Lonchura striata: one gene and its partners. Each later gene encodes a partner of the first gene's protein in a complex. Links are inferred from orthologs where the notes say so. Each region holds a gene or a part of one and is shown in the gene's direction. Other genes may lie near its edges. The genes, in order: F2, F2RL2, THBD and F2R.

Region 1 (7,465 bases):
CATGTGCTGTGTTTGAAGCGAGTGCCCTCTGTCACAGCAGAACTGGGAGAGAAGGGGGAGCAAGGGGGGGAAGGGGCAGGGAGACCCAGACCCCTACTCCCTAAGCTGATCTGCTTCTTTATTCCAAGGTAACAGGAGAGAGGTAGAAGGAGCAATTATGAATTAGGAGGTCTTCACAGAAACATTGTTCACCTGACAGTAGATCTGAGTAGGTGGGAGCATGTCTGTGCCATGCTGCACGTATCACTTGGCTGCAAGATAAGCTTAGCTGGCTAATTCTGAGGAGCCCATAGGTGATTCCCATAGGCCCCTGATGGTGATGCCACCACCATGTCTTTGTCTTAGAAACAGCATGTTCTCATGTGAACAACCTTTTTCTTGACAGCAAAATGTTGCATAAAGTTGTTTACTCCTAGGAAATTCCTATAAAAGCCCCAAAGAACCTCAGCAGGGATGGGATTTGTACAGGGTGCCATGGCTATGTCCAGTAAATGGTATTTTAATGACTACATTGTGGGCTCTGAGTGCCTTTTTTATTGGGATCCATAACAAGCCCTCATGCCAGTGCATTACATTTGGTGCAGTTGTCAGGATCCTGGTGAGAAGGGAAGAAGGATAACAAGGAAAAGGATATGTGCCTGCCTGGTGCCATATGCTGGCATGGGGAGCAGCTACACAGCCTGCTTTGTGTACCCATAATAGGTTCAAGCAGCAAGCACAGAGCTCTCCTGGGTAATGAAGTCCACCATGCTGGCAGGCTTCACCAAATCTTTGGGGTGCTGCTGCAACACTCCTGGGTGACAAATGCCAAGGTCTTTTGGATGATTGGGGTCCTTTGTGCTGGCAGGGTGACACCAGGTGTCAGGCATGCATACAAGTGTTACATTTAAACCTCACACCACAATCAGGGTTCAGTTCCTGGCCAAGTTGTAAACTGGCTTAAACCTGACCAAGGTGTTTGAATGAAAAGGAACAGGCTGCACAGGGAGGAGACAATTCTCTGGGTCCTGGCCCTCGGGGACAGGGGAACTCCCATGTGAAGGGATAAAGGTTTCATGTTTCTGATTGTATCCAAGATGTTGCTTTGATCAAACTGTATAACTCACTTTAGGAACAGATTAATAAACGCTTCAACTATTGAACCAGCAAACTATCCATAACAGAGCAGACAAAGGTCCAAGAAAATGGGCCAAGGCCAAATCCCCTATATTCTGCTCCCTGGAAGTTGAAAAGTTACACAGGAAAAAAAAAAAAAAAAGAAAAAAAAGAAAAAAAAAAGCCAAATTTCTTTACTTAAAAAGAAGAATTAACACATAGGACGAAAGAGATCAAAATTCCCAACTGTGTTACAAGCAGTAACTCTGGATGGAAAAGGTATCTTAACTCTCTTGTCCTAAGAAAGAAAATAGCATCCATCATTCATAGGTGAGTGAAGGCAGAAAGAAAATGAAATTATAAAAAATTGGTTTGAATGGAAGAGGTAAATGTTGGAGGGGTGGAAGTCATCCCTGGAGAGGTGGTGATAGCTGATGCATACTGTGCTGCTGCAGAGGCTAACCACAGGAATGGGAGAAACAGAAAGGAGCCCTAGAAGCACATTACGGAAGGAGAAAGGCCACAGTGTGAAGAGTCAGCATTTTTAATTACTAACATTGCTGTGAGACACCAGAAAGAGCTGGAAAGGGTCCCAGGATGTAGTGAAAATCTCCAATTACAAAGCAAAATGTAAAGAAATAGAAGACATCTAAGTGATAGATGTATCCTTGAGCAATCTAGAGATAAGAAGTTTCAGCAGTTACAGTTAACAACTTAGTTGCCCTGATAGGTGGGTTTGTCTTGTATCGCTCGGGAAAGAGCAGCAGCAGCAGAAAGCAGCTGGGCAAGAAACAGCCAGACATAGTGACAGAATCATCAGTTTCAGTAAGGGTTTTTCAAACAAATGCTTAAGCAACAAAATAAATGTAGGAACCAGAACAGAAGTAATGTTTAAGGAAGATGGCATAAGTGGGTATTAGAAGATATTCATACCTGTCTGATAACCAAGGTTAACTGCTGTATTGTAGCATTGCTTAAAGCTGGCCTTATATACTGCATGATCCCATGGAAGGTGGTAAGACCTTTCCTTTAAAGGAAAGACAAGCAGAGGGTAAAAATCTATGCGTAACAACGTTGACTTAAGCTGCCTGGTTGTTACAAAGAAGAGACAGAGATGCAGAAAAGAAAGTGATTGAGGAGACTGAAAGCTGCTCCTCCTCCAGTGAGGAGTGGAGGTGGCTGTGTGGGACACAGCAGCAGCCTGACCTTACCATTCTTGTTTGTGCTTTTCCCTGTCCCTGCCTGCGCTCTCTACCTAAATGCTGCTTCCCCTGCTAAGTAACATGGGGATTTCCAGGGTTGTGTCTAATCCCATTCACACACTCTCCACCCAGGTCATTTCCACCCAGGGAATTCCAGCCATTTCTAAAGGTGTATTTTCAAAATCCATAGCGAGGAGTAGAGATGTGTGTGGATGAGAACAGGAGATACTCTTATGTGAGGAAGGAAGACTCTGCAACTGCTCTTTGTACCAGTGTCCAGAGTCATTCTTCAGCCACCCTAATGCTAATATTTGCACTTCTTCTATGGAGATAAACATTACAGATGTATCAGCTGCACAGAGGCACAGGACAAAATATGCTCCCTGCTGGCAGGAAGCACTTTTGCTCCATGTGGCAGATTCCTGAGACTACCCCCATGCTGCCCTGCTTTCTGCTGTTTTTCCACTCTTGCCAATAGTCTGCTTGCTGTAGCAACCATTAGAGCCTTCCCAGCTCTGGTAGTCCACTTCTTGACTTAACAGCTGATGTCATTACATCCAGACCATTCCTCTCTCCCCATTCCTGGAAGCCCTTGTTTTTCTGGCTGGTTTGGGGTGTGCTAGCTCCCTGCTTGTCAGAGTTTCTGTTTCCTTTTAGATGGACTTTAGTACATTCCACTAAGGGGGGAAGAAAAGGGGGAGCCTAGCCTTCATGCTATTTCATCCTCTTCCACTCAGCTGGGAATTATAAGGCATTACGAAGAATGCACTGCCAATGGCACTGGTAACTAACCTAACTGGGAGGAAAATCTAAATCCCAAATGGGCTGTCAAAGGCACCCTTTCTGCTCATTGTCATGGGCAAGGGAGAAGGGAGAACACAAACTGTGTTGTGGTGCCAAAATAGCTGAGGCTGAGCTTACTGATAACTGCAGGAAGGAAAGACAACTGAGCACTAGGGACACTCAGGGGGGCTTGCAGCTAAAAAGAGGACTGGGAATGGCTAAGGAGGTCTCAAAGTCCTTCTGTGTTTGAGGTAGCTAGAGTACAACCTTTGAGAACAGTCAGTATTAAGGACCTGAACCAGCATGGTGGGGAGGCAGTGATGGTGCCAAGGGGCTGCACAGGAGCAAAGCCAGGGAAAAGGAGCAAGCTCTCTGGCTGGGATGGCTGTGAGCTGGCAGAGGTATCTCTCTCCAGCCCAAATTTTCCCTGTACCCTAGGACAAACTTGCCCTCTTGCTACTCATGCATCATCCTAGATATGAAATAGGAAGTTAAGTAAGGAAACAAAGATGCTCTGACAGGAGGGAGAGATGCCAAAAGAGGAGGGATAAGAGTCCCACTGTCCCTGACACACCATGACCTGGAGTCCTGTTTCTTCATTCTGGTTCAATATTAACCCAGCAGGGCTGTGAATCTGCTTATTCTGCTTCCTTTGCAATTCCCCTGCAGCCACGGCTGTACAGCATGGCGCAGAACAAAACCAACATACTGAGGGGCCTGCTCTTCTCCAGCCTTCTGCACCTCACCTTGAGCCATGCTGGAGGTAAGACTCAAGGGCAGAAGTACCAGTAGATGACAGGGGGAAGACAGAGATAGTTCTTTCCAGGGGTAACACAGGTGGCAAGTTTTCTTCCTCAAGTCAGGAGGACAGGCTAAAAGCTTGAAGCTGGGAGCAAAAGGGTGCTGAGAATGGAGTGAACATAGGAGGATGCAGCTGCATCTGCCAGCTGGTGATAGCAGCTCAGTGCATTTTATGGGTCACCTGGGAAATGGCAGGGAGGGGACTGTGGTCCAGGATCAAGTCTAACAATAACCATGGGGCTTTTGGGAATAGAGTTTCTCAGCTGACCTAGATGACTTCAATTCTCTATTGCTTGTCCTGCTGTGCCTTATCAAAACCTTAGGTCATACAAAATATTCCACCTGCCTGCTCACTGCTCCCTAAGGAGCTTCTGTCTTTTCTTAACATGAGGTTAAGTACTCTTCAACCCACTACTGAGCAGGAGAAGACCTGTCTCCACATCTCAAATCAGGGGCTCTGAACATGAACTGGAACCAAGTTGTGTTTAGCACAGTGGTCTGAGACTTATAAGACAGAAATACAGTGGCTGGGGATAGGGACAGCAGCAGGCTCAAAGCAAACAAGCCTCTATCTAACTGCAAATGAGCAGAGCAGCTTTGCCGAGGAAGCAGTGTTCCTGTTGCTTCTGTTCCTTAAGTGATGGGAGCTGTGATGGGATGAATTCCAGTGAGCCTGCTCTGATCATCAAGCGTAGACATGACAGGGCTTCTCCTCTCTGTATGGTGTGCTGGGGGAGGCTGGGCTGTGGGATCACCACATCAGCTGCATGTGGTTTTTGGAAACTGCAAGGGGAGACAAAGGTGCCCTCTGGCTGTGAGCAGCCCTTTGACTGGCAGTGTTCTGACCTGATAGTTTTCCTGGAAAAGGGGCAGGCATTGTCACTGCTCAAGCGCCACCGACGTGCCAACAAGGGATTTCTAGAAGAGATGCTTAAGGGAAACCTGGAGCGAGAGTGCTTGGAGGAGACATGCAGTTATGAGGAGGCTTTCGAAGCCCTTGAATCCACTGATCAGACGGTACGTACCGGGAAACATTCCCCCAGCCAGCCTCTGTGGGGAGACACCAGCAGGTTGCCCACACAGCCAGGGACCAGGGTTGTAATACTCAATTCTGTGAGCTAAAGATGAGGCTGATGAGTGCATGCCCCACGGCAAGCTCAGGCTTCCTTAGGGAGTTTCCCTTCTTGAGACCTGCAGGGAATACACTTGAAAGCTCAGGTTCTTTTCTCTCCCTCTCTATGCATGAAGTGACAAGGTGCTATTGGTCCCGAAAAGCACCTTCCACCAGCTCAGCATGGTACCATACATGCGAACTGCTATCCCAGACACCCACAGAAGCACTGGCATAGTAGTCAAAACACTAAGTGCAGGTTGCTCAGACTCCCTTGAGCTTTTGCTTTTGCACACCCTGTCTATTTTTCTGCCTTCCAGACTCACTCACTCTGTCAAAGTTGTCCGATACTGCATCCTTTTGGGATTTGTTCCTAGACCCAAGGCTGGTGTCCCTGCAGAATTTCACACCCAAAAAACCCATAAACAAACAGTTAGGAGCCTAAGCCAGCAAGACACTAGCTCTTTGGAGTACTTCAAAAACAATCAGCCTCCAGCTGCATGGCAGAGATGAGCAATACCTACATGTGATCTATGGCCTTAGAAATTCCAGGTTCAGCTGCTTGGACTTCTGCACTGTAGCATACTGCATTACTTGCACTGCTTGCTTTGCAGGTTGATGAAGGTTGTAAACATCTTTGGTCTTTTTAGAAACAACAGTACTGTCTTGATTGCCAAGTCTGATGTGTGGGAATGTGGTTTTGCATCACATTTTTGCTTTGACTCCATAGTAATTGGTATAAACAGAACTAGATTAGTCTTTCCTTTTGTTGTTATGGAACATTCTCTTACTGGTTTCAATAGCGGTAGCCCAGAAAGGTTTGATGTTTGATGTTCTGTGTCCTTAAATTATTTTTTCTTTTTTTTTTTTTTTTTTACAGGATATATTTTGGTCAAAATACCAAGGTAAGTTGAAGTTGTTTTGAGTCTTGCAGGTATTGTTATTCCTTAGAATGCACTGTCTCATCCTGGAGAGATGGCTCCCTCTTTTAAGAGCTCACTTTCCAGGGCTAAGCACTTGTGTTTTGTCTCTAGATGGTAACCTGGTTCAAATGACGATGCTTATTTGGATTGCATTCATACAATGTGTTTCTTTCTTCTTATTTTGCTAGTATGTCAGGGCCTGGGAAAGTCCAGGACAATTCTGGATGCTTGTCTAGAAGGTATGAACTTCATGCTGACCTCAATCTCCTAGATACAGTGAGTGCCAGGAACTTGCTTCCTGCAGAGATTGTACAGAAAAGAAATTTAACTGATGTTAGAGAAGCCATCTAATTTTAAAGAAAAATACAAGGGGAGGAATTTGAAATTATTTCTTACTCTTTATTTCCCCAGTAATCATTTCAACAGACAATCTGGCTTGTGCACTGAAATAGCAGCCTCTGAGAAAGGCTCTGAGCCAAAGCAAAGCACAGAGCCCTCACAGACAGCTCCCTCTGATGAAGCAGAGAAAGCTTAGGCTTCTCACAGGAAGAGGATGCCTCTGCTATTGCAGGCTCATGCACCCAGCAAAAGTTAAAGGGATATGTGGGGATGGTACTTCTGACCTTGCAAAATGCAACATCCAGTTCCACTGACTGGCTTGCACTGTTGGGATTTTGACAGGTAACTGTGCTCTTGGGCTGGGCCAGAACTATCAGGGAACAATTAGCCAAACCAAGTCTGGGATTGAATGTCAAGTGTGGACAAGCAAGTATCCACATATACCTAAGTAAGTTCATCTCCCACATACCCCTTAAGAGTTCTCTGGGGTATCCTTCCTTCCTAGCCTAACCAGCTTTGTCTCTCATAGATTTAATGCCACCATTTATCCCAACCTCATTGAGAACTACTGCAGGAACCCAGACAACAACTCAGAAGGCCCGTGGTGCTATACCCGAAACCCAACAGTAGAACGGGAGGCGTGTCCTATCCCCGTGTGTGGTATGCCCCAGCACTCCAGAGAGCCCTTCACTCACAGCAAAACACTGCACTGAGACTGACACTAAAGCAGTCAAGGAGAGGGTTAAGGAGGGGGAATGCTTACATGAACAGAGGTCAGTAGGAGTAGAGAAGTTGCATCTTAAAGGGTAAAGGAGATGAGGAAGAAAAGTCACTGAGTTGCCCATACATAATGAGCTATTTTCTCTAGATTACACTAATGTAGATCTAAATTAAAACCAGTATCGGCAGTACCTTGGAATGTACTACAGTATTTTCTAGTCAGTCACCCCAGAATCCTGGCCCAGCTGTCTCTAATTTGTGACAGCCAAGAGTCATAATGCTTTTTGGTCTGAATGCCTACCTTTAGAACAAAATAACTAGTTTATGCTTGACTGCCTGCCTTAACGTTCTCTCCTGTGAAGGTGTGCAGTTTAATACTCACAATTTCAAGTAAAGAGAAGATACCCTTCTCTCATCATTAAGCTGAACATAGAGGATCATCTCCCTACACTTGCACATTCCCGTTTCTCCCTAGTACAAAGCCATCTCCT
Region 2 (7,978 bases), on another chromosome or scaffold:
CCAGCACACATTCTACCATTGCTGTGACACTGTGATATCCAGGCATCTCGCCTCAGCAGCATGGAAGCAGAAAAAACTGGGAAGCCACACATTACATCTGGCTGCTGCTGGCCCCAGACTCATACACAGTCCCATGTGCCTCATCAACTCTGTTCAGCAGTGTTTGAATGCTTTCCTTCCTCCTTTTCATCATGTTAAGGGTGCTGGAAGATATTTTTATAAAGACAAAAGAAAACACAGCTTAAGCTAAGATTCATTTATGTAGGTCCACTGTCATCTGGATTTTCCTCATATTTTAATTAATTATGCCTACATATTTGAAGGAAAATATAAGAAAAGTGCTTATCAGGGAAAAAGCTCAAGTTGGCAGAAATTATTCCTTTCATTTTAAAATGCTAGCAATTAATACTGTGGCTGTTGCTCTAGAGAAAGGCCATTTGGACCCTGAAAAATCATAAGATAACTGAGGGTTAGCCATCCTCCTCAACTGCCAGAAAACTGTCAGCTCCATTTGCTTCTCCAGCAGTTAGGATGCCAATACCAGATCAACACTGCAAAGGGTTTTTCTCCACACCCATCCTCCCTTTTAAACAGCTGTGATATACAAAACCACAGTTGTCTGGTGTGATAAGCCTGAACTCTCAACAAGGCCAAAGATCAGCTTTTTCCTATAACTTGGACTGTCTCAGGACACAGACTTCCTGCTTTGACAGACTCTTCCTGTGCAAGACTGAAGTCAGTGTTCAAATCTACTCCTGAAGGCTATACAGCTGATATTTGGCTGATGTCTTTTTGTCCTTCACTTAGATAAGGAGTACAATGGTTGAACTCATTAAAGAAGTGAAGCAAGGTGATGCAAAACAGAGCAAGCACCACAATGGGTTAGGAAATGCAGCAGCACTTACTGAACACTTCTTCCTAAATATAGGTAGAAGATACAGAGTCCTTTACTGACAACTTTAGGGATGACTGTAAAAGCCTTTCAAAATTTTAATAGTGTACCATTTAGTATTCATATAAGGCATAAAAGTTAGTTTGGAAGTGATCAAGACTGTTTCAGTACCACTGCCAGTATCTTCTCTTATTTTACTGCTTATTTTATTGCCATTACTGCAGCAATCTCAAAACCACATTTTAAACTGAAAAATACATCTTTGACTACCTTGTGAAAGTTTTGGAATTGTTTGCCTTTCAAAAATAGAGCCTGTGTGATAGATCAAATAAAAGTTCCTTTCCAAGTTGTGATCAAGCTGAACTTTAAGTTTAGACTACGTGAACACACATGCAAGCTTCCTGAGACAGGATGTGTTGGTTATAGGAAGTATCAGGTTCTGTGCTGTGGGGAAATGTTAAATCTCAGGTTTTAGCTGCAAAACCTTACAGCTCTCTAAGAATGTGCTGTGCTGACAGTGCTTCCTTTCAACCCACAGGGCAGAGTACATGAAATTAGTACTTTTTTTCTAAAAGTGAAATGTTAAAACAGTTCCACTGAGCATCCTTGATTGTGAAAAACTGTGCATTTACTACGAACAAAAATTATAACAAAAGATTTTAGAACAAGTGGATGGACCAGTAATTTACCATTAGAAACATTGTGTGGTATTGCTGTATGAATTATGCTGTCCTAATTTCTTCAGGCTGCTTATGATACATATTCTTGATGCTTTTACACCAGTGAACACAAATGAGGGCATTTTAAAGTTGCTCTTAAGGTTTAACTCAAATCTGTTTATACACTACATGTTTCCTTCCTTTCTCTGTGCTCATGTTTCCTCATGGCTCTGGATGGCATTCAAGGGAAGCAGGTTTTTCCACAAAAGAAGGTATCAGCACTCCTCAGCAGAAAATCTAGGTTGAGACAATATGCATGTATCTGACCCTATCTCAGAAAACACAAGCCCAGCGCTTTCTATGGATATGTGACCTACAAAAATACTTCAGATATCTTCTGTGTATCTGCCTTGTTACATGAAGATGACATTAGTTGTTTAGCTCAATTCCAAAGTAATAGCAACACAAAATGCAACATTCCTGTAGCAGGGATAGCTATTTGTAATGTCCATCTGTGTTCTCTTCCACCCACGACTGCCCAAGCAGTAACTCCTGACGTGCCTGTGCACTCACAGCAGCCCCATGGCACCAGGGATGGCTGAGCACAGCACTGCAGGAATGCACCCACTTCAGCACTTGCATTCACAAGCTCCAAAGCTCCAAAGGTGCAACAGAAAGAAGCACTGACTCACCCAGAGCCAAGTGAAGCAGAAGGCTGACCAATACCCAGTGCCTTGTCTGTGCTGTGATGGCAGGCACATCACCATGCTCTCCAACGCGCCCCATAAACCCAGTGATGCTTGCTGCTACGTTGCTTGCCAAAGTTTATTATGTATTATGAATACTTTTTCTAAAATTATCATATTCAGCCAAAGCTTTGACAAAAGGTGTTGAGTCCATTCAGTACACAGCACTCTGACAGATTAAGTCTCAGCGTTTTTCCTACAGATTGGAAGAGCATATGCTTTTCAAAAAGAGCTAGCATTTCTTGTACACTGCTTTAAAAGTTAATCTTCCTGATTTCTTTGTCAGCAATCCATAAAATATAAAGAAACATGAATAAGCAAAATTGTAAACATAAAAATTTGCCCTTAAAATATGCATAAAGATTTTAGTCTTAAATGTAGCAAAACAAGCTCCTGAACAGCATATCTGTTCTCATTCATATATTTCAGGAGCTACATGAAGATGCAGTGACATTAGAAAGATTGGTCATGATGTAAACCTGTATAACCAAATCCATTTAATTATTAGCCACACCTTAAAGATTACCACTTTAGATAGAACTAACACCACTCCTGTAGTTTTAAGTCATCTCAGTCTTAGTATGACAAAGAACATGCATTCATTTCTTTTCATGTATTTAAAGAGCTTGCACCTTCTCTGAAGTGGAAAATATAAATTACCAATTTCATTTTCCCAAGACCAAGAAAAACAAGACCAGTGGAGATGCAGGTTAATGCTTACAGGTTGCTGCTTCTTTTATGTTGTTATTGCTGTCATTGATTCCTCTTTGTATTTCATCCAGCCACAGAAGAGCTGATTCATCTTGAGATTCCTAGAAAAAGGACAGTAAAAAGCCTTGAAAAAACTGAATAATAAGAGTTATCTCAATATAGTGATACAGTTCCAATACACAGTCTCTGCTTTGCAAAGCTCTAGAACACAAAAAAAGGATTTGATTGTTTAAAATCATCAATGAAATACATTCATGTTTTGTTTACTGACTTGAAAAAGATCCTGTTCAGATACAAATCTCTGAAAGTTTTGATGTCTAGAAGAACAGAATTTGCTGATACTACTGGCAGAGAATTAATTCTACTAAAGATCAATACAAATTGAAACATTTTTTTTTCCATGATATGTAGATAAAGTAGTCTGAGTCATGTAAAATCACACAGACAGCAGGAAGCTGGCTTTCTTCAAAATCCCTTATTTGGAAAGGATCCTTGTGTATATCTAAGTACATATTACAGTGAATACTCTTATAGAAAGTCCAGATTTAGTAAAGATGACTTAGCTCATGCAAACATTTCTGTAATTAAGCTGCGGAATAGGCACTGCTATTCTTTCAGGCCTAAAGTGCATGACATTAAACCCAAGTTAAAATAGAAGGTGCATTAGAGTGGGATCAACATGCCTACTAACTAGCCCTACTGTCCAGGTTCACTGGTGATACCCACACTTCAGCAGATAAAACAGGGTTAAAGTAGTATTTTAAACCTAATCCAGTAGGTGGGTGGGAAATGCATGCTAAAGAGGAAATGTCACGCCTATCATAGACTAGCAATGAGAGAAGCTGGAATGTATTGATTAAGAGAGATCTAGGAAAATATACACACAAATATTTCAGGGAAAAAATACAGCTAGAAAGACATTCAAACTAAAACAGTGTGGATAAAGAAGCAGCTTTGCAATGAGTATCCCTGGTTAAGCACTGAAGCTCAGGTCAAATAATAAATCTGATATCCACAGAAACTACAAAAACAGGGTAAAAAAACCCCTAAAGACATGCTCTTCGGTTTACATCATGTATGTAAGCAAGGTAGCAGAATACTTAGTATAACATGAAGTGGTGTCAGACAATCACAGGACAGTGGACACATACTGCTTATTTTTCTACCAAGTGAGAGTTAGCACATGAGAGAATGTTCAATAAATCCCCAAACTGCCATTGCATTTTGAGAAAAGCTTTGAGAGCTTTTACACATTAAATACAAGAACAGACACAAATACTGCTCTGGAGCCAAGTAAAACTTATGCTGATCCTCACAACTAGCCTGGAAGCCAGACCAAGGCTTGGGTTAATTTGGCTTGGTGAAACAAGCTATTGCTATTTGGCATTGAAGGCAAAAAAAAAAAAAAAAAAAAAAAGCAAGCCAGGCAGAGAAAAAGGGAGGGATCAACAAAGCAGGAAATGAAAACAGGGGAAAGGAGAGGAAAGGTTTTAGAGGCTGCAGTGTGTGGCAGGATGGAAACTGCCTGGGGAGAGGCTGTAGGTGGATTGAAGGAGCCAAACAGCTAATAGTGGGTAGGGAGGCAAAAGGCAAAGCAGAATGCAGTTTTCCTGAGGTATATTTGTATGTATGGTTTCTTTCTTTCTGTCTTTGCCTTTTGCTAAACTGAGATAGTCACACCCTTCTGCAAGCCCAGCTTTTCCCTGGAGAAGGGTACAGAGTTCAGCCACGTGACATTTTGGTCCTGAATGAGACCCTTGAGGATTTACTAAACACACCCCTTGATTTTTCCAGAAAAAAACTTTTTACTCCAAATACCTGTATGTACAAATGTCAGTAGAACCCTGCATATCAGCTTCAGGCTTGTGGTAAATTAGGAGTTAAAATGCTGCTGTAAAGGATTTTATCTCTGTGTTGGGCTGAGGCTGAAACTGAGTCATATGTGCATATTTGGATACGTCACACTCTCTTGCTGTAGTAGACAAAGAACAAGTTAGCTCCTTACCATAAACCTCATGCTTACAGGATGCTTCTGGAGGACAGATCAATCTTTCTTTAGTCCCTTACAGAGAGTAACCCCCCCCCCTACAAAATGTCTCTTGAGATGAACTAGCACAGCGCCATCCTTCAGCTGGCTGGATTTCACACACTACAATGAAGATACTGTTTTTCACTGGACTGCTCTCTCTTACTTCCAATCTTTGCACTACAGGTGAGTCCTCTTTTCTGTATCTATTCCATATTTTAGTCAAGACTTTTTGATAATGTTGCTTTACCAGCTGTGGACTTAAAATGAGTTGTACATGCATGTATGATTACAGAAAACTGCTCCGGGATGTCTCCTTTAAAGCAGATTTTTATACTTTCATTTCAGTGACACATTACCCCTGCCAGTCATTTTGTAAAAATAGTTTTATTTAAGAGGACTTTCTGCACTTACTGAAGACACATCTTTTATCTAGTATTTTTGTAACAATATGAAATTTTAAACCTGTAGTGTCTTGTTTTGCAACTTCACAGATGGTGTTATTAGAAGGAAATGCCCAGATGACTATTGTGATAAAAATAACTAAAGGAAATGATCAAATAATAAACCTTTCTAGAATTAAAAATATTTTCAAAACAAGCTCATTTAGAAAAGCTGGTATAGATAAATATATATATACATACATACATAATATACATATATATGTATTTACACCTATGTCTATTTATTATACATATATCAGCCAATGCAGGCACATGGATGACTCCTAGTGAGTGGTTAAAACTAAACTTCTGGAATAACTAGCAGAAAACTACTAGAAATTATGTAGTCTGCTAATTATTATTATTATAAAACATTCTACTATTAGAGTGAACATTAATAAAATTATTCTCTTTAATTTATTCAAATATGGAAAGGTAAAAAAGGGTCCAAGGATTTTCATCCATATTTCAGTTTGCTTCTGAATTTCAGTTTCATGGTGCATGCTGAAGGCTTAACAATAAGTAATTTTGCATTAAATGCACATAAGAAAATTTAAGTGACACAAATATTTACACAGTTGTTTACTGTGCAAAATCTATTCTACAGCACATGGCTTTAAGAAGCATTTTGAGCACATTTGTGCTTCATGTGGAAATGTTGATATATCTACAAATTTGTCTACTAAAGATTGAAAAACAGGTGTTAGCAGTATTAATATCTAATAGTGTGTTAATAGTATTACTGGTTTTGCCCACATGCTGACAATATTTACTCACACATAATTTTCCTACTGCTTGAAAAGTTTTATTCACTTCTTAGTAAATCACACCTAATACTTTCCCAACCATTTGTTTTCAATTTTCAGACATTGCCCTTTCTCATGTACAAGAACCTGAAAATACCAAGTTTGCTTTAGTCAAAAGCTGCAGAATAACAGTTTCACATGTGAGACCAAAAAAACCAAGGGTAATTTCAGTTTTCTAATTTGAAAGCTTCAGTGTTAGACTAGATAGTGCTTTTTGCATCTTTTGCAGTTACTCATTTAATACATGAAGTGACAGGATAGTAATGGTGGCTGACCAAGCCTAAACAAAGACTGCTTATATGATGAATGACCAGCATTCCTACTACTGGGAAAAATCCTCCACTGGTCATAAGCATTACTGAAGTGTCTGATGTTTTTCACCAAAGATTACTGAAAACACTCAAAGCACAGAAAGGTCAGCTAACACTACGTTAATGATGAATTTTCAAGATTTGATGTGAAATGATAAATGAAGACTGTTGTCTGTACATTTGAATACCCAAAGCAGAGGAGAATGTCCCCAAATCTTTTAAACTTATACTGCTTTCACATAAAAATGGTTATCTTTCTCTGTTCTGAAGGTGAGTCATCTTGTTAATGCAGTAGTTTGTCTTTTTTAACAATTCTCACTTTTTTTTATTTCTAAGCTTCAGAATTTTCACTGAATGGCTCTGCAATTAAAACCGTGTCTCTTATAAAAACTTTTCGTGGACTTTCAGCGAGAGACTATGATTACATCCCTCCTTATGCTATAGAAGGGGAAACAACAACCATCCATATCAGAGAAAACAAATGCACTTCAACAAAGCCAAATGATTCCACGTTAACAGAAGTGAGCAACACCACGCTGGAGTACCTCACCAGCTCCCTGAGCACCAAGCTAATACCTGCTGTCTACCTCAGTGCTCTTTTACTGGGTGTACCCTCTAATGCCATCATTCTGTGGATGCTTCTCTTCAGGATCCGCTCTGTGTGCACTGCCGTCCTCTACACAAACCTGGCTGTTTCAGACCTGCTCTTCTGCATCATACTGCCCTTCAAAATAGCCTACCACATCAACGGGAACAACTGGATATTTGGGGAGACCATGTGTCGAGCGACCACGGCAGTGTTTTACGGCAACATGTACTGCTCCATCCTGCTGCTGACGTGCATCAGCGTCAGCCGCTACCTGGCCATCGTTCACCCCTTCACCTACAAGAGCCTCCCGAAGCGCGCCTACGCCATCGCCGCCTGCGCTGCCGTGTGGGCCATCGTCTTCCTCTACATGCTCCCACTTGCCATCATGCAGCAAAGCTACTACGTGAAGCAACTGGACATTTACACCTGCCACGATGTGCACAGTGCCTGTGAAACTGTGTCTTCCTTCCAGTTCTACTACTACGTGTCCTTAGCTGTATTTGGGTTTTTAATACCGCTCGCAACTATCGTGTTCTGCTATGTCTCGATTATACGAACACTCAAGACTCACGAGTGGTTCTGGTATGTTAAAGTCAGTCTGTTGATTCTTACCATCTTTGCTATTTGCTTTGTGCCAAGCAATATTATCCTTATTATCCATCACATCAACTATTACTATTACAAGACAGATAGGTTGTATTCTTTTTACCTAATTGCTTTATGCCTTAGCAGCCTAAACAGTTGTCTTGATCCTTTCCTTTACTTTCTAATGTCAAAAATTAGAAGTCAATCCAA
Region 3 (7,322 bases), on another chromosome or scaffold:
AGCAGGCCCCTGCAGGCACAACCAGGGTGGGGTTTAAGGGTTACTTTTTTAAGGATCTTATTAAAAATCTGTTGCCTGAAACCAGGGAAAACTGCTTATCACAGAGCCAAGGAATTTCATAAAGGTAGGAAAAGCTGTGTTTGGAACAACCACGTCCTCATATCCTGAGTGTCCTGCCTAAATCAACTTCTAAACAGAGAAAACAATGCTCTCCTTCCCATCAGCCACATGGGAGGCTGGGCTTTTCCTGTTGTATCTTTTTTTTGGGGGGGGAAAGTCCTTCCTGGCTCTAGGCTGAGTGTGTTTTCCCTCTTTCCCCGTGTAAGGAACATGCTGGAATTGGAATATTTGCTGATTATTCAGTGTAAAACTCGTAACTCCCAAAAAAATCTCTGGGCCAAGTTGCTCCCCAGGTACTTCCCAAAATTCCTTGAGCCTCTTGCAGTCTTTCCAGTGGGAATTCTCCTCAAAATCCTGAGGGGCACATACAGCATCACCTCCTTCATAGTTTATCCATGCTATGAAGGGCTGGAAAAGATCAGCCACAGGATTTGAAGGGTCCAGCAGCTTCTTGAAGTTTCTGTTTGAGTTATTGTGTCCCTGGAGCTGAATTGCTCCAGGAATGAGAACAGAACACAAAGGAGTTTGCAGTGGGTAGGGAGCTGCATCCTGTCATTCCATGTGCTGAGGAAAACCCTTTCCTGCTTTTTTCTTGTCTTGGGTCCCCATTGTGAGCTGCAAACAGGAAAATTGAGCTGATATGAATGTTTTCCATGCGCTGCCTAGGTTGGGAGAACGTGGGGGAATTCAGCAGCAGAATTCTTGGAAATCCTGCCAAAAATTCCCAAATCCCAAGCCAGCATAGCACTGGGAATAGCTGGATCAATGAAGGAAATCCCATGCAATTATGCCGGATTGGGATCTTTGGGAAGTGACAACCTTGGGGTTTTTTATGGGATATAAGGCTATAAAAAAGGGAAAGGAAGGGTGAGGGTGGAATCATAGCTGGGAAGAACCTGAAGTGTGCTGCTTATTCCCAAAAAATCATAATCCTGATTTCTGATGCAACTTCTATGTATTCCATTGGGGAATGATGATGGATCTAGGGGAAGACAGGAATTTGTGCCAAGGGTTTAGGTTGGATTCTTCCTAACGGAATATTTCCTGCTGTAGCATCCTTCCTCCCTGGTGCAATTCCACCTGGATTCAATCTTATGTCTCATTTTTCCTGGCACATCTTGATCTGTGGCCTCCTTAGGGAATTGTCCAGGTACTGGTGAATCCCACAAGTTGGAGCAGGATAATTTGGTGCCCTGTCTTCCAGAGGAGATGGGATGTTCATCCTGCTCCTTGGATTTTTTTGTAATGGATGAGTGTTTTGCTTTGCCAGAATGAAACTCTTGGATTTACAGCATAAAGTTATCCCAACACTGCTCTCCAGATGGAATTCCAAGAAAACTTGAACAAAAATGTGTTTCTAGTGGGTTTTAATAAAGATATTCCTAAAAATCCATGGTCTGGTGCTCCTAATCCTTGTCTTCCCTACAGTAGGTGGGTGGTGATCCCAAATCCTTTCCTAGGGCTTATTCCATGATCTCAGCCTTTCCCAGGATCTGTGGTCCTGGGCAGGGGCCATTCCCTTCATCTCCGCTGAGGCCATGGGGTGGGCTGTGTTGGATCCCAATAGCACAAGGAAAGTCCTAAATCCATGAGGAAGGTCCTAAACCTATAAAAAAAGTCACCAAGCCACAGGCAAAGCGCTAAATCCATGAGCAGGGTCCCAAATCCACAAGCAAGGCCCTAAACGCAGGTGGAAGGGCCCAAGTCCATGAGCAAGATCCTAATCCTATGACCAAGTTCCTGAAACCACAAGGAAAGTCCATGAGAAAAGACCTCAACCCACGGGCAAGGTCCTAAGACCATGACCAAATTCCTAAAACCATGAACAAGGCCCCAGTCCTATGACCATGTTCTCAATCCCACAGCCAAGGTCCTGATTCCATGGCCAAGGTCCCAGCCCAACAACCAAAGTTCCAATCCCATGACCAAGGCCCTAATCCCATGACCAACATTCCAAATCCATGAGCAATCCCTTTGATTTCAGTGCTGCTCTGCGTGAGGTTCTTTTCGGGATCGACTGATAGGATAGACTGCTTTTAGATCCTATTATCCCATGATATTTCATATTATTTTACATTCCATTGCTTTCCATTCCCTCATGGACAACTGCCAGCATTCCAACAGAGCAACCTCATCCCAAAACCCTTCAAAGAAGCCAAAAACTCCCCCCTGTTGACACAAACTCCCAGATTTGGGGGTCAGGACAAACACTCCAAGTGCCCGCTTGAGCAGAGTGACAGGGACAGCCCGGATGAGTCAAAGCCAAGGGGAAAGGCAGGAGAAACATGATTAATGGGACTGGGGAAGAGGAAGAGCAGCCTGTCAGCAGGCAGGGCAGTGCTGGCACCCTGACTCAGCCGCTGGAGCAGTGGGATAAAAGGAATTAAGAAACCGTGATTAATCCCATTCCTCCCACCCCATCTCGATTATCTTTTAGGGACAAACGTCAGTCGGGCAAGACCAGTGAGGTGGGATCATTGTTTGGGAAGGCTCTGTTTTTTTCCTGGACAAAACCTTGACAAGGAATTTTTTATCTGGGTTTGCAGTTACTGAAAAAAAAAATAAAACAGCCGGAGCAGAAATGTATTGTTTTGGGGTTTTTTCCATCTCCACTACACTCTCCTTTCCTTCTTTTCCTGTGGTTTGCCGGGATGTTTTTCCCCTTCTCTTGGTAGTTTTCTCCAGAGAACAGACGCAGAAGTAAAAGGAGAAGTGGAAGAAGAATTGGAAATAGTGAAATGAAAATTGTGGGAACAACAGGTGTTCCTAAAGTCAGTAAAGGTCAGAGTTATCCAGCTCTCCAGGAGATTCCTGGGAATGATCCTGCTTGGATAAATTCTTTGTTTCAAGCTCTCCCATGGACACTTTCTCCTTGAGGTTCATCACTGCTGCTGGAATTAAATTCTATAGACATTTCTTTTCTATTTTCGTGGCAGATCCAAAATGTCCAATGGGGTTAAATAAGAGTTAATTATTGATTATTCATTATTATTATTACTATTATTATTCCAAACTTCTTTTTTTTTTCCCAAAATCCCACAGGGTTTTGTGGGAAGGACTCAGGGTTGTGAGAGGACAAAACAAACACCAAGGGTTTAAGAAAGGACAAAGTTCAATAAAGTTCACTAAAGTTTACTAAAGTTTAATAAAGAAACCTCCTTTCTTTGATCCGAGGAAATTGGGATTTGCTGCTTATCCCAAAGGACAATTGCAGTGCCCGAGGCTGTTGGAATTCCATGAAAAAACGGCATCAAATCCCTTTTTTTTGTGGAATTGAGAAGCCTGGGACATTTAGGTTGCATTTTTAGGTTGCTCTTGGCTCTGTTCTGGCAGCACAGAGGGATCCCCCAAGGACAAACAGATGGAATGGGATATCCATTCTGAGGTGTCTGTGGGGAATAGGGGAGATGGGGAGAAGGGTCATAATATTGCTTTTAATAACAATAATACCAAACAGTAGAACTGTATAAGTTATATAACTCTAGATGGAAATACATAATTATATGCTAATTTTTTATTAAAGAAGTTTTCCCTAATCAAACGTAAACAGTTTTCCTTCATCCCATTCCTTATTCCCTGGGAGCAGATCCCAAGCCCACCTGACTCCACCATCCTGTCAGGCATTGCGGAGAGGGAAAAGCTTTCCTCTAGAGCCTCCTTTTCCTCAGGCTGAGACCGTTTCCTAGCTCCTTCCCGGTGCTCCAGCCCCTTCCTGGCTCCATTCCCACCTCTGGACACGGTCCAACTCCTCTTCTTTCCACTCTGGATGCAGAGCTGCACGCAGGATTTGAGCTGTGACCTCCGCAGTGCTGGCCCTGTGGCAGCAGCTGAGTGACATCCCAGTGGCACGAAGACCCCAGCGGGGTGACAATTCCCAGCGGCGCTGCTTCCACGCCGAGGCCCCCTCCTGTGAAATCTCCGCGCCGCTTCCCCCCTTTCCCAGGGCTCAGCCCGTGTTCCCCGGCACTCGCGGGACGCCCCGGCCGCTGCCGGCCGCTCCCCGCGCAGCCGGGCGGGCCCCGCCGGGGCGGAGCCGCCGGGAGGATGCGGGAGGGGACCCAGGGCCACGGGGCGGGGGCGGGGGCAGCGCCCGGCCGGGATTCACCGCCGCGGTCGCTCCCGGCCCCGGGGGCGCTTCCTTCCCCCGCCGGGGCCGCTATAAAGGGGGCGGCCGGGAGGAGCGGCCCATGCTCAGCTCGGGGCGCCGCCGGCCGCCCCCTCCGCGGGCCATGCGGCCTCTGCTGCCGCTGCTGCTGCTCGGGACGGCGGCTCTGGCACAGCCGCCGGACCCGTCCCCCGCGGGCACGCAGTGCCTGGAGCACGAGTGTTTCGCCGTGTTCTGGGCGTCCCGGCCCTTCTCCGACGCCAGCGAGAGCTGCGAGCGGGGCGGGGGACACCTCATGACCGTGCGCTCCACCGTGGCCGAGGAGGCGATCGCGCTGCTGCTTCAGAACCGCAAGGGGCGGCTCTGGCTCGGGCTGTCGCTGTCGCCCTCCTTGTCCTGCACCGAGCCCAGCCGGCTGCTCCGCGGCTTCCGCTGGGTCACCGGCGACCACAGCACCGATTACACCAACTGGGCGCTGCCGGGGCAGCGCTGCGGCGAGCGCTGCGTGACCGTGTCCCGGGAGCTGGGCTGGGAGGAGCGGCGCTGCGAGGAGCCGGCAGACGGCTTCCTCTGCCAGTACACCTACGGAGGCAGCTGTCCTCACCTGGCCTCCCAGCGCGCCGTCCCTGTCACCTACGCCACCCCCTTCGGCGCCCGCGGAGCGGACTTCCAGGCACTGCCTCCGCGCAGCGTGGCGTTCGTCCCTGACCTCGGGCTGGAGCTGCGCTGCGAGGATGGGGACGACGCGGGGCCGCGCTGGGGCCGCGACACCCCGGGAGCGTGGCCCTGCGAGCTGGGCGGCGGTGGCTGCGCGGGGACGTGCGCGGAGGAGAGCGGGCGGCCGCGCTGCTCCTGCCCCGAGGGCACGGTGCTGGGCCCGGACGGGCGCGGGTGCCGCTCGCCCTGTGAGGGGGCGCAGTGCCAGCATCACTGCGTGGTGGCCGGCGGCTCCTTCTTGTGCATGTGCGCCGTCGGGTACCGGCTGGCGGCCGATGGCATCAGCTGCGAGGACGTCGACGACTGCACCAGCGAGCCCGGCCCGTGCGAGCAGAAGTGCCTGAACACCCAGGGTGGCTTCGAGTGCCAGTGTCACAGCGGCTACAGGATGGTGAACGGGCACTGCCAGCGCCTGCCGCCCTGCTGGGAGGCGCCGTGCCAGCAGCGCTGCGAGGAGCTGCCCGACGGCTACCGCTGCGGCTGCTTCCCCGGCTACGCCGTGGACCCGCGGGATGCCACCCTCTGCCGCCTGCACTGCAACGCCACCGAGTGCCCCGCCGTGTGCGACGCCGAAGGGGCCTGCGAGTGTCCCGAGGGCTTCCTGCTGGACGGCGACGATCTGTGCGTGGACATGGATGAGTGCGACAGTGGTCACTGCGAGTTCAACTGCACCAACACCCCCGGCGGCTACCAGTGCCACTGTCCCCCCGGCTACTACCTCCTCGGCCTCGACTGCAAACTGGACGGGGATGGCGAGGAAGCGTCCTCGGGGGATTTGGAGCCCGAACTGCATGACCCCGTCCCCAGCCGGCCCCCGCCGAAAGAGGAGCAGCTGCACCCCGGGGTGCTGGTGGGCATCGCGGTGAGTGCCCTTCTGAGCCTCCTGGCCCTGCTGGCTCTGGGATTCTGCCTGGCCAGGAAGCGCTGTCGTTCCCACGGCTCTATGGATTACAAGTACAGCGGCCCCCACGAGAAGGAGCTGGGGCTTCAGCCCGTCCCCTCGGCACAGAAGCCGTAGGGACATCCGTCGGACGGACATTGGGAGGCCGAACGGGGTGACATTTAACCTCCGCCACCCGCCCCTTCCCAGCTGCCCGGCTGGAATTTTTGAATGATAATTGGGGAAAAGCTGTGATCGCACCACTCCCAGAAATACTCGCTGCTTCCCAGCCGGCTTTTGGAATGCTAGTGCCGGAGAGCGGGGACAGCAGAACACCCAGAACCTGCTCCGCTCCTGCTCCGTTCCCGCTTCTTTGGCATTCAGCTTTCCTTTTCCCGAGTGGGCGGTCGGGAAAACCGCAAGGAAAAACCCAGGAGGGACGACTCCGTGTGTAAGTGACTCTAAATCCGTGGGATGAGAGCACGGTGTGACCAAGACGGGGACTTTTGAAAGGACACCTCAACCCAAATCCTCCTCCCTCGGGCTGGATGGTTTTCCCGAACTGGGAGGCTCCTGCTTTTCTTTGGGATGGGGTTTGTTTGTTTTAAGATGAGGGAATGAGGAGCAAAGATGTTGTGGGAAGCACTTGTCACCTTAAGCCACTGGTGAGAGCAGGCTCGATGTCACCAAGGGGGGACTCAACTTCCTGATTCCCATTCCGTCTCCTTATTTTTTGCGGGATGTGGAGGTTAAACAGGGACACATAGGCTGTCGGGATGGGTTTGGTAGGAAAGGTTTGCAGTGCTGCAGAGCCACATCCAGTTCCTTCCATGACTTTCCACCGTTGTTGCCTTAAATTATTGGATTTGGGATATTTTTACGACCCCTCCCACCCAAAGAGATTTTCCCTGTTCCCTCGTGCAGGGCTGACTCTATCCCAAAGTAAAACATTCCCAGGGGGCGGGATCCAGAGTGCCGCTCATTCCCAGCCACGGACTGGGTGGGAGTTCTGAGAGGGATCTAATTTTCCAGCTCCATCCTTCCCTGGGGAGCCAAAGAGGGTCCTGTTCTGGCTGCCGTTGGATCGGGAACGTCAGAGCACGTGCTGGCAGCTTTATGCTGGTGAAGTATTATCCCAGAGTGGTGAAAGTTTTGGAAGCCTGGGATCAGAACTGGGGAGTTCTGTTCCCCAGCACTCCCCCCTCCCACCCTATGAACTTCCCAGCACGCATCTCCCCTGGAATGCTAAACCTCCGCTGCAAATTCCCAGGAAAATCAAAATGAGGCATTTGTAAGAATCGTGGTTTTCCTAAAAGGTCATTATCCTGAAGGCTGGAAAACTGAGGATCCTGTGCATGGATCTCTTGGGGTGGATTAAAGTGAAACCACATGGAGTGAGGGCTGTAAATCTGTGGATGTGCCAGGTTTATTTTAGGACAGTTTGGCTGCAGTGGGAAGGAGGGAGCTGTTGCGATTACCCATAATTATCCGTGATTATCC
Region 4 (7,675 bases), on another chromosome or scaffold:
TATAAATATTTGAAGTTTGTCGTTGGATGCTTGTTAAATTTTAAAAACACACCCTAAAACACCAAATGTTCAGAGGAATGTACACAGTGCCTTTTCAGCATTGATAACAAAACAGAAAACCAAGAAATCTATTCATTTAAACAGCTCAAGATTTCATTGGTGTTGGTACTTTCAAATCAAAATTTTCTTTAGGACACACAGCTATTGTGTAGATTTTAAAGTAGACAGAAATTGAATTTAGTTAAATATATAAACCTCTTCCTATTGAAACATTTTTAAATTACCTCAGATATATAATATAGCTGATACTAGACTTTAAGTATTTACCAAAAGAGAACCTAATTTGTTTCTAAGGGATAGTTTGAGCAAATACTTAGCTACATACTAGGCCTATTGTGTGGCAGTTGTCAATTGCAAAGCAAATATATTGTGCAATTCAAAAAATTTTATAGGTAATTATAGAGTGACAATAACAACTTGCTTCACAAAAATATATTTTGCGATTCATTCCTACTAAATGCACTACTGCCTTGTGCAAAATGACATTTTCTATTTTCACAGCCTTTGGAGTGGTATTGGGGAAATCTGAATAGCGAACAGTTATTCAGTTTGAAGTATTTGAATACCTAAATTGTGCCTGTCTTTTATTTTTTTTTTTTTTTGTAAGAAAATAAATGCAATAAAATCAGTATTTAGATTGGGTTTTTTAAATATTCTTTGGAGATTGTTCTATGTAAAATAAACATCACCTAATTAAACTGGCTTGGTCCCTAAATCTCATTTCAAGGAATTATTAAAGCTGCAACCTAGATGGTAATTGAAAGAATTTATATCAGTGCTTTTATAAAATTGCATGTAATTAAGCCTGTCTCCAGTACACTTGAGGAAAGCTGCTCAGCAGTGAAGACTTCATGGCCCTTATGCCATTGAATGTGATGAAGATTTTGCTTAGGAACTATAACAGAGCAAAAGTTTGTGCCATTGGTAATGTGACCAATAGAAAATACTTCTTTCTCTCACTTTTCCTGTGACAAACACTTCAAAAGATAGTGAGAAATTCTGGAATTAATTATAAAAGCAAATATTAAGTAAGAACTCTGGTAAGAGAATAGAACAGTGTTAAGTCACTGGCAGATATATGGATTACAAACTCAGCTGATATACTAACTGATGTGTGGTGTTACACAAGCTGAAAAAATTATTACATTTGCTGGAGATATTAATTTATGTATGACATTAAGTTTGAATACATGACTACTTTAAAACAGTTAATATCCCTAATTAAATGATTAAAAAACTACTCTGTGATCCCAGTTTTCTTCTAGCTGGTTATGTATAAACCATTTTAATATGACATAAATACTGCAGTATTGATACCCTACTTCACTTAAAATAGCTGGATAGAAAAATGAAAACAGTGCTTCGTTCTTCCTTCTGAAGAAGAGAACTGAATTTTACTTGAATATTAATTCAATTCCCAATCTTTTGTTCCCCTTTTTATTTGCAACAGACTTGACTAATGGCTGTATTTTTAAAAAACTCTAGCTGAGCACTAAATCTGCCACAGGTGTGATGTTGCTCCTAAGGACGGACTCTTGAGGCAATGTGTCAAAAGCCTGGAATTGTGCTGGTGAGACATGCCAGAGACCCACAGCCTTTATGGGAGTAACTCACTCCTGGTTATGCAATTTTGTGTGATATACTTGCACATCTAGTACCTGCCTGGTTCTAATGCAAATAGCACATTCCTCAGTTATTTCCTGGAGCAGGCAAGCTTAGAAAAGCTTCTTTGATTTCCACATAATGACAATTATGAATGGTACAGTCTGTGTACCAGCATGCCCCTTTTCCAGCCTGGGCTTCCTGTTCTTCCTAGTGCACATCAAAGAATAATTTCCATTTAATGTCTTTGAACTCCTTTATAGCTTTTTTCCTTAATTAGGTAGTTCCATTTAGGGCCTTGTCACTGAACAATAATATGAACCCTGCTGAGAAGGATTGACCACAATGTTTTCTTCCTCCATGTAAGATTGATGGTAGTGTGAAGTACCATACAAATGAGCAAAGTGATTTTGTTATCACCCACTGCTGCTGACAGCTACTAACTACAAAAAAAAAAAGGTGTTTTAGAGGCTACTGTAAGATGCAATGTGGGGAATTCCAACATTAGAAAGGACTTGCTGAAATCAGCTTCAATCATGAAATGGTGGTGTGGAAAGACTTGCATTGCTGTTCCAAAATCTGAGAAAAAATGCCAGTACAGCTGAATTGGGCCTATGCATCGGTTGTCACTACAGGAGAGAATGCATCTTTCTTTGCACAGCCTATCTCTCAGCTTTTTCCTCCTTAACTGGTGGCAGGGAAAAGAAATTATAATCGGTAATAGTCTTAGCCTTTTAACCACAAGGCTTGCATTTTTCTATCACGTGTCTTTAGAGTTCATTAAGAGTGCCTGGCAGCTTACTTAGTTTATTTTGGAATTTTTCCATTCTCAAGGGCCTCTAAAGATAAAAAGCTACCCACAAAATTGCAGAACAACATCCTTCTGCTTAGGCCAGGCAGACAGGAGCACCAACACAAGCACTAGATTTGTTCTGTTTCACTTTGCACTGATCCGTGGACCTCCTTTAACTGTCCAACTTTCTTTTAAAGAATACAGGAGTAAAACAACCTTCATTCCCAGAAAATCCAAACACTGACAGCTACATGTGATTTCAAAAAGTTTGTAACAAGATACACAACCCTCTACCTAGATGACTGATTTCCCTGCTTGAGGTGTGTGTTTCTGTGCTCATCTTTCAGCAGTAACCACCCACCTCTGACAAGCACCAGGGTAATCCGTGTATTGGTAGTAAGAAAGATCTCCTTCCGCAAACAGTAATGATGTAGCAGTCTGGCTAGATAGGTGCAGTCCTTTTTGGTAAACTTGGTGTGTTTAAAAGGAATGAAGTTTTGTTCTGTAACATACTTCTACTAAAAAAAACACCAAGTAGCATTAAAAATTATTAAGTCCTGAACTCTTCACCTCTGTTACAATAAGTTATCTTGAGAGGAAGGAGCAAGTTGATTCAAAAAACTACAGGATACAAAACTTAAATTTGGTTTTCATATGCAGACATAAAATTTAACAAGCATGGGTTTTATTCACTTGCTGTATATATAATAACCAGGTTACAAAGATGAAAGGGCATAGCCCTATGATGGTTTCTAATGTCTGTGACTAAAATACTTCTGGAGGTTCAATCTGAAGAGAACCAGGCTTCTCTTCATATGTTTTACAAACTCTGCAATCTAAGTTATTCCTCAAGCATTTGCCCACTGGCTAACACTTCTTGAAATGTAAGAAAAATACTAGCAATATATGCTTTTTTGAGAACCTGAGTCATTTTTACAATTACCTGTTTTAGTTCAGTTCTATTTTGGGTTTAGAGTGTTAGAAGAGCAACGTCTGTGCATGTTATAGAACTGTGAGACCACACAGAAATTACTAGCTTCACCTCACAAAAAGAATAGCTTCACTTTCTCTTCCCAGATGAAATAATTACCTCTGATTAAGGTATTGTCTAAACAGATGAATAGTTCAATTAAGTATAAAGCATTTTTTTCTAGGTTTCCTAGAGCATGTGGGATGATAGAGCTGTGGGAAGGCTGGCTAGCTGTAAAACTTGTATTTATTTCTTGCTCTATACAAATGCAATCATCTTCAACCATGTTATAAGTAGTGGTAGAACTGTGAGAGGAACACCATAGAGACACAGAGCTTACTGGGAACCAGTACATATGATTAGGGAAATTTGTCTTCCATTATTTTTATTCTCCACCAAAAACAAAGCTCAGTGCTTCTGCAGTAATAAAGGCACTTCATACATATAAGCAAGTTCAAATCAGCCTTCCCTCATTCCCATTTTTGTCTGTACTGCTGTAAACAGAAGGATATACAGTTGAGGCATGGATAGCACACGCTAGCAAGCCAGTGTCCACTTTAAAGCTTCTGACTGTCCTACAGGCTTAATAAACACTTAAACAACAGTGGGATGTTTTGAAAGCAAAGCTTCTAAATAATAGCTGCAAAATTACCAAAATATTTTCCTATGCAACCTTCATGTAGGTTTTGCTTCAACCACTTCTTGATTCATGAGCATCTCAAAAGGATCACAGACTCCAAAGTTTGTCAGCGCCACTGGACTGGGGAGTGGCACCACTTTATCGGGAATTTTGGAACAGCAGAGAGGGCTGCAGAGCCGGGCAATGAATCGCTTTTGGGTTGCCCTGTGTTTGTAGCGCAGTTTACTGAACACATGCAATACAAGCCAGCTTGAACGTCATCTCCTTTATACGAAGTAGATCAACTGAAACAGTGTGATCCTTCAGCTGTGAGTAATGCAGGCATTTCATCTGCCCGTACAACTGCTCCCGTGAGGCACTCGGACTGCAAATTTGGCAAACTTAGCTTAGAATAATTCCTTGAACATAACCCTTTGTTCCGGCGCTCCCGACCTCTCACCCTGCCCGATCCGGCCGCCGCTTCCCGTGTCCCAGCGGGGCGCGGGGGCTGCTGGCCGGGCTCCGAGTCCCGCGGGCGCTGCCCCTGCGCCTCCTCCTCCCCTTCCTTCCCCTCCCTCTCCTCCCCTCCCGCCGAGCCCCGGCGCGCAGCCCCATCCCTGCGGCAGGAGGGAGTCCCGGTGCGGCTCTCCGCCAGCCCCGGCCTCGTGCGGGCTGCGTGCGCCAGCCCCGGACGGACGGACGGACGGACGGACGGGCGGACGGGCGGACGGACCGCGGACCGAAGGCGCGGCCATGCGGCCCCGGGCGCTGCTGTGCGCCCTGGCGCTGCTCTGCTGCCCGCCGCCCCGGCCAGGTGGGTCCGCGGGGCCGCGGCGCTGGCGGCGTGTTCCGGCCGCGGAGCGAAGAGCCGGAGGCGTCCCAGCGCTCAGCATCGCCTGTCCGCACGCTGCCGGGCCGTGCGATCCCGCTTGGGAGTTTTCCGTGCGAGTTCGGGCCGAGTTTTCTTCGGCGCTTTGTGCTCCTGGCAGCGGCGAGGAGAGGCTGTTCTTGGTGGTGGAGGATGGCTCGGGGTGACGCCGTGGTTAAGGAGGGGGGCAGGCAGTGGCAGGTGGCGGGGGAACGGACCAGATCGGCGAGACTTGCTGCTGGATTCTCTTAACCTTTCACTAGCAACGTAGGAAGAGGGTGTGCCAGCTGAATTTCTAGGAGGTGCAAATTTCGGAAGATCTGCCAGCACAAAATTGTTCAGAATATGCACCCCAAGTAGATAGACTACTTTCATGGTTATTTCATGGTTATTCACGATATAGCAACATCAGAACCCTACCTGGTGAGCCCATGTATCCGTCCTGCTCAGAGCTTGTTAAACGATGGAGATGCTGAGGTAAGGAAAGAGAGAGAAGACATGCATGCATTTAACCTCACACCTTATGGCAGAGGTACAGCAGTACAAAGGATTGTGCATTTAGAGATTAGCACTGGGGTTTTTTTGCTATTACAATTTTCCTTGATTCAGTTTAAGATTTCTTTCAATCAGGTAGTGGCGATAGTGCTCCTGTAGAAATAACGTCCCACGATGGCCTGCAGTAGAGCCTCAGGTCCTATATATGTAAAAGGGCTGATTAGATGAGTAGCTAAGAGGAAATTTCAGAGCATAGCATACTTTGACTGCTGAGCTAAACTGAAAGGGGATAGACCTAGTATTTGTAACTATGCTGGGAGGGAAGCATCAGAGAGGGCAAATAATTTTTGCTGGACAACTTCCTGGTACAAGGACAAGTGGGAAGGAAGCTGAAATCATGTTCATATGAGAAGTCTAAGGAAAATATCTTTTTAAGAAAAGGGGGAGGTGGTGTAAAAGACAAGCTGCACATGTTAATGCTAGGAAAAAATTTCACTGTTGGTGCTATTCTTCCAGTTACTTCATGTACAACAGAACTAACAAAACCCAATCATCTGAATATGTCTTCTGCTCTTCTTGTGCTCACTCCCATCATAATAATATAATTTCCCCGCTGTCCTAAATAACCTGTTTTTACCACAATGTACATCATTCCTGTTGCCCATGCACTTTTGTATCCTGTGGTCTGCTCTGGCTTTTCTGCCATCCTTCGCTGTGCACAGTTACCACATTACTGACCTGCACTGTTCCTTTGGGCAGATGAAAAAGCACTAGTTTGGCAGTAGGTTGGTGTTAAGTGCCTACAAATTATCTGACCAGTGCTGTTGAGGTGTCTAAGGTCTGAAACTTGCCTGGAATTCCCTGCCTTGAGACACTGATGGCAAGACAGAGATTATTCATTGTTTGAAGCCAGCATATGTGGTTAAAGAGATGAGAAAACAGAGCAGACACCCAGTTGCAAGAAAACAATAGTTCAAGAAAATGTGTTCAGATTGCTACCACATCAGTTGTGTAATCTAATAATGAATTCTATATAAATAGAGATGTGAACTCATAAATAATTCAGTTTTATTTTTATAAAAGCAATTAACTGTCATCACTCCTACAAGATTGTGTCTTATTTTGTTCATTAATGCATGTCTGGCATGCACTTCAGAGTCTGCCTTCACATGCCTAATTTATGGGCTACTGAGTAATTTAGATTATAGATGCTTATCACTTGGGGTTGTACAAAGGAGAGATAAAAGAAACCTATTTGTTATAAGCTAGTATGCAGCTGTTGCCAATAATGCCCATAAATCAGTATTATTTATTGTCCAGCAGCACATAGGGAACATATTTAATTGGCTTGTGTTCCTACACAAGCCTGTTCTCTAGTCTCTGACATCACAAAGATATCCCTCGGGATGTGAAGTCTGCTGGTTTGTAACATTCTGTCCATGCTCATGGGTCTACAGAAATATTTTTCAAGTTTCTTCTGGAGCTTAAGATTGGTCAAAGTTGTATTTTCTTTCACAGAGTGGGATGCAGAGTAGTCCCTTGCATATGAAAATAGACATGAAAGTTTAGGTCACCATTCTTCATGTTATCAAGTGGCAGCGAAATAGCAAGTGTGATGCCTCATTACATTTTCCCACAAAGCTGGCTTGCAAGTAGTACCTCATGTCTTCTAAGTTCAAAATGGGGACATGGATTTAGAACAGGAGTCAGTGTAGAGGTGATGTTTGCAGAATGAAGGTTGAGTTCAATTCTGAACTTAGAAAGCCTCTGCTTATACAAAGAATACATAGTTTTCACCAAATTATTCCAGATATTTATCTAAAATTATTTATACATTTTTTTTGTTTGTTTGATTTATTGTAATAGGATTCTACCTCTAGAAAATTTCTGTAATGGAGTAAAAGTGACTCTAAATTCTTTCATCTAAGAAACCTGTAAATAAGATGCCTCCAAGAATTCAGAATATAATTAAAATTATTAGCAATGTTCATTTAGCTATAAGCACTAGCTTAGACAATGGCTGGTAGTCAGTAAAAGGTACCTGTCCCACTCATAGCATTCTTTTCGTGTAGCATATTTTTATACCATTCTCAGTTAGGAGCTGGTGATGAGAAGTCATTCAGGTTATCACCCAGGGCATCCACACTAAGAGACTTAACCTCAGTCATTAAGGGTCAGTGACTCTGATTGGGTTGGTTTGCTAGTTCTCAAAAATGTGAAACTGCAGCACAGCTCAGGTCCTCCAAATCTGAGGGATACTGGGACAAG

What was found.
Region 2: the proteins of F2 (region 1) and F2RL2 are in contact, whole or in part, in a crystal structure (PDB 2PUX), measured with the Mus musculus proteins. The link is inferred for Lonchura striata from reciprocal best matches to the Homo sapiens genes F2 and F2RL2. Residues at the interface, in NP_034298.1 of Mus musculus: Phe379, Gln384, Glu385, Leu386, Leu420, Arg422, Arg428, Thr429, Arg430, Tyr431, Arg433, Lys437, Ile438, Ser439, Met440, Lys467, Pro470; in NP_034300.3 of Mus musculus: Thr46, Phe47, Glu48, Glu49, Phe50, Pro51, Asp54, Ile55, Glu56.
Region 3: the proteins of F2 (region 1) and THBD are in contact, whole or in part, in a crystal structure (PDB 1DX5), measured with the Homo sapiens proteins. The link is inferred for Lonchura striata from reciprocal best matches to the Homo sapiens genes F2 and THBD. Residues at the interface, in NP_000497.1 of Homo sapiens: Phe382, Ser385, Pro386, Gln387, Leu423, Arg425, Thr432, Arg433, Tyr434, Arg436, Asn437, Glu439, Lys440, Ile441, Met443, Lys470; in NP_000352.1 of Homo sapiens: Ser424, Cys425, Glu426, Cys427, Tyr431, Ile432, Leu433, Asp434, Asp435, Thr440, Asp441, Ile442, Asp443, Glu446, Asn447, Gly449, Phe450, Asp479.
Region 4: the proteins of F2 (region 1) and F2R are in contact, whole or in part, in a crystal structure (PDB 3LU9), measured with the Homo sapiens proteins. The link is inferred for Lonchura striata from reciprocal best matches to the Homo sapiens genes F2 and F2R. Residues at the interface, in NP_000497.1 of Homo sapiens: Phe382, Arg383, Pro386, Gln387, Glu388, Leu389, Leu390, Cys391, His406, Cys407, Tyr410, Trp413, Lys415, Leu423, Arg425, Arg431, Thr432, Arg433, Tyr434, Ile441, Met443, Glu457, Asn458, Leu459, Asn506, Thr510, Lys517, Gly518, Gln519, Arg541; in NP_001983.2 of Homo sapiens: Ala33, Thr34, Asn35, Thr37, Leu38, Asp39, Pro40, Arg41, Ser42, Phe43, Leu44, Leu45, Arg46, Asn47, Pro48, Asp50, Lys51, Tyr52, Glu53, Pro54, Phe55, Trp56.

Annotation. Positions count from the first base shown.
Region 1 is NC_134608.1:38,794,856-38,802,320, forward strand, and holds the start of F2 (prothrombin), read left to right. Parts: upstream 1-4,463; coding exon 4,464-4,898; intron 4,899-5,872; coding exon 5,873-5,897; intron 5,898-6,103; coding exon 6,104-6,154; intron 6,155-6,596; coding exon 6,597-6,702; intron 6,703-6,783; coding exon 6,784-6,914; intron 6,915-7,465. UniProt on the Homo sapiens protein: Thrombin, which cleaves bonds after Arg and Lys, converts fibrinogen to fibrin and activates factors V, VII, VIII, XIII, and, in complex with thrombomodulin, protein C. Functions in blood homeostasis, inflammation and wound healing.
Region 2 is NC_134642.1:13,444,519-13,452,496, forward strand, and holds the start of F2RL2 (proteinase-activated receptor 3), read left to right. Parts: upstream 1-4,977; 5' UTR 4,978-5,162; coding exon 5,163-5,220; intron 5,221-6,930; coding exon 6,931-7,978. Other genes in the region: ras GTPase-activating-like protein IQGAP2, read right to left, coding at 3,019-3,109. UniProt on the Homo sapiens protein: Receptor for activated thrombin coupled to G proteins that stimulate phosphoinositide hydrolysis.
Region 3 is NC_134605.1:27,849,201-27,856,522, forward strand, and holds the start of THBD (thrombomodulin), read left to right. Parts: upstream 1-4,320; 5' UTR 4,321-4,349; coding exon 4,350-5,960; 3' UTR 5,961-7,322. UniProt on the Homo sapiens protein: Endothelial cell receptor that plays a critical role in regulating several physiological processes including hemostasis, coagulation, fibrinolysis, inflammation, and angiogenesis.
Region 4 is NC_134642.1:13,412,144-13,419,818, reverse strand, and holds the start of F2R (proteinase-activated receptor 1), read left to right. Parts: upstream 1-4,674; 5' UTR 4,675-4,797; coding exon 4,798-4,858; intron 4,859-7,675. UniProt on the Homo sapiens protein: High affinity receptor that binds the activated thrombin, leading to calcium release from intracellular stores.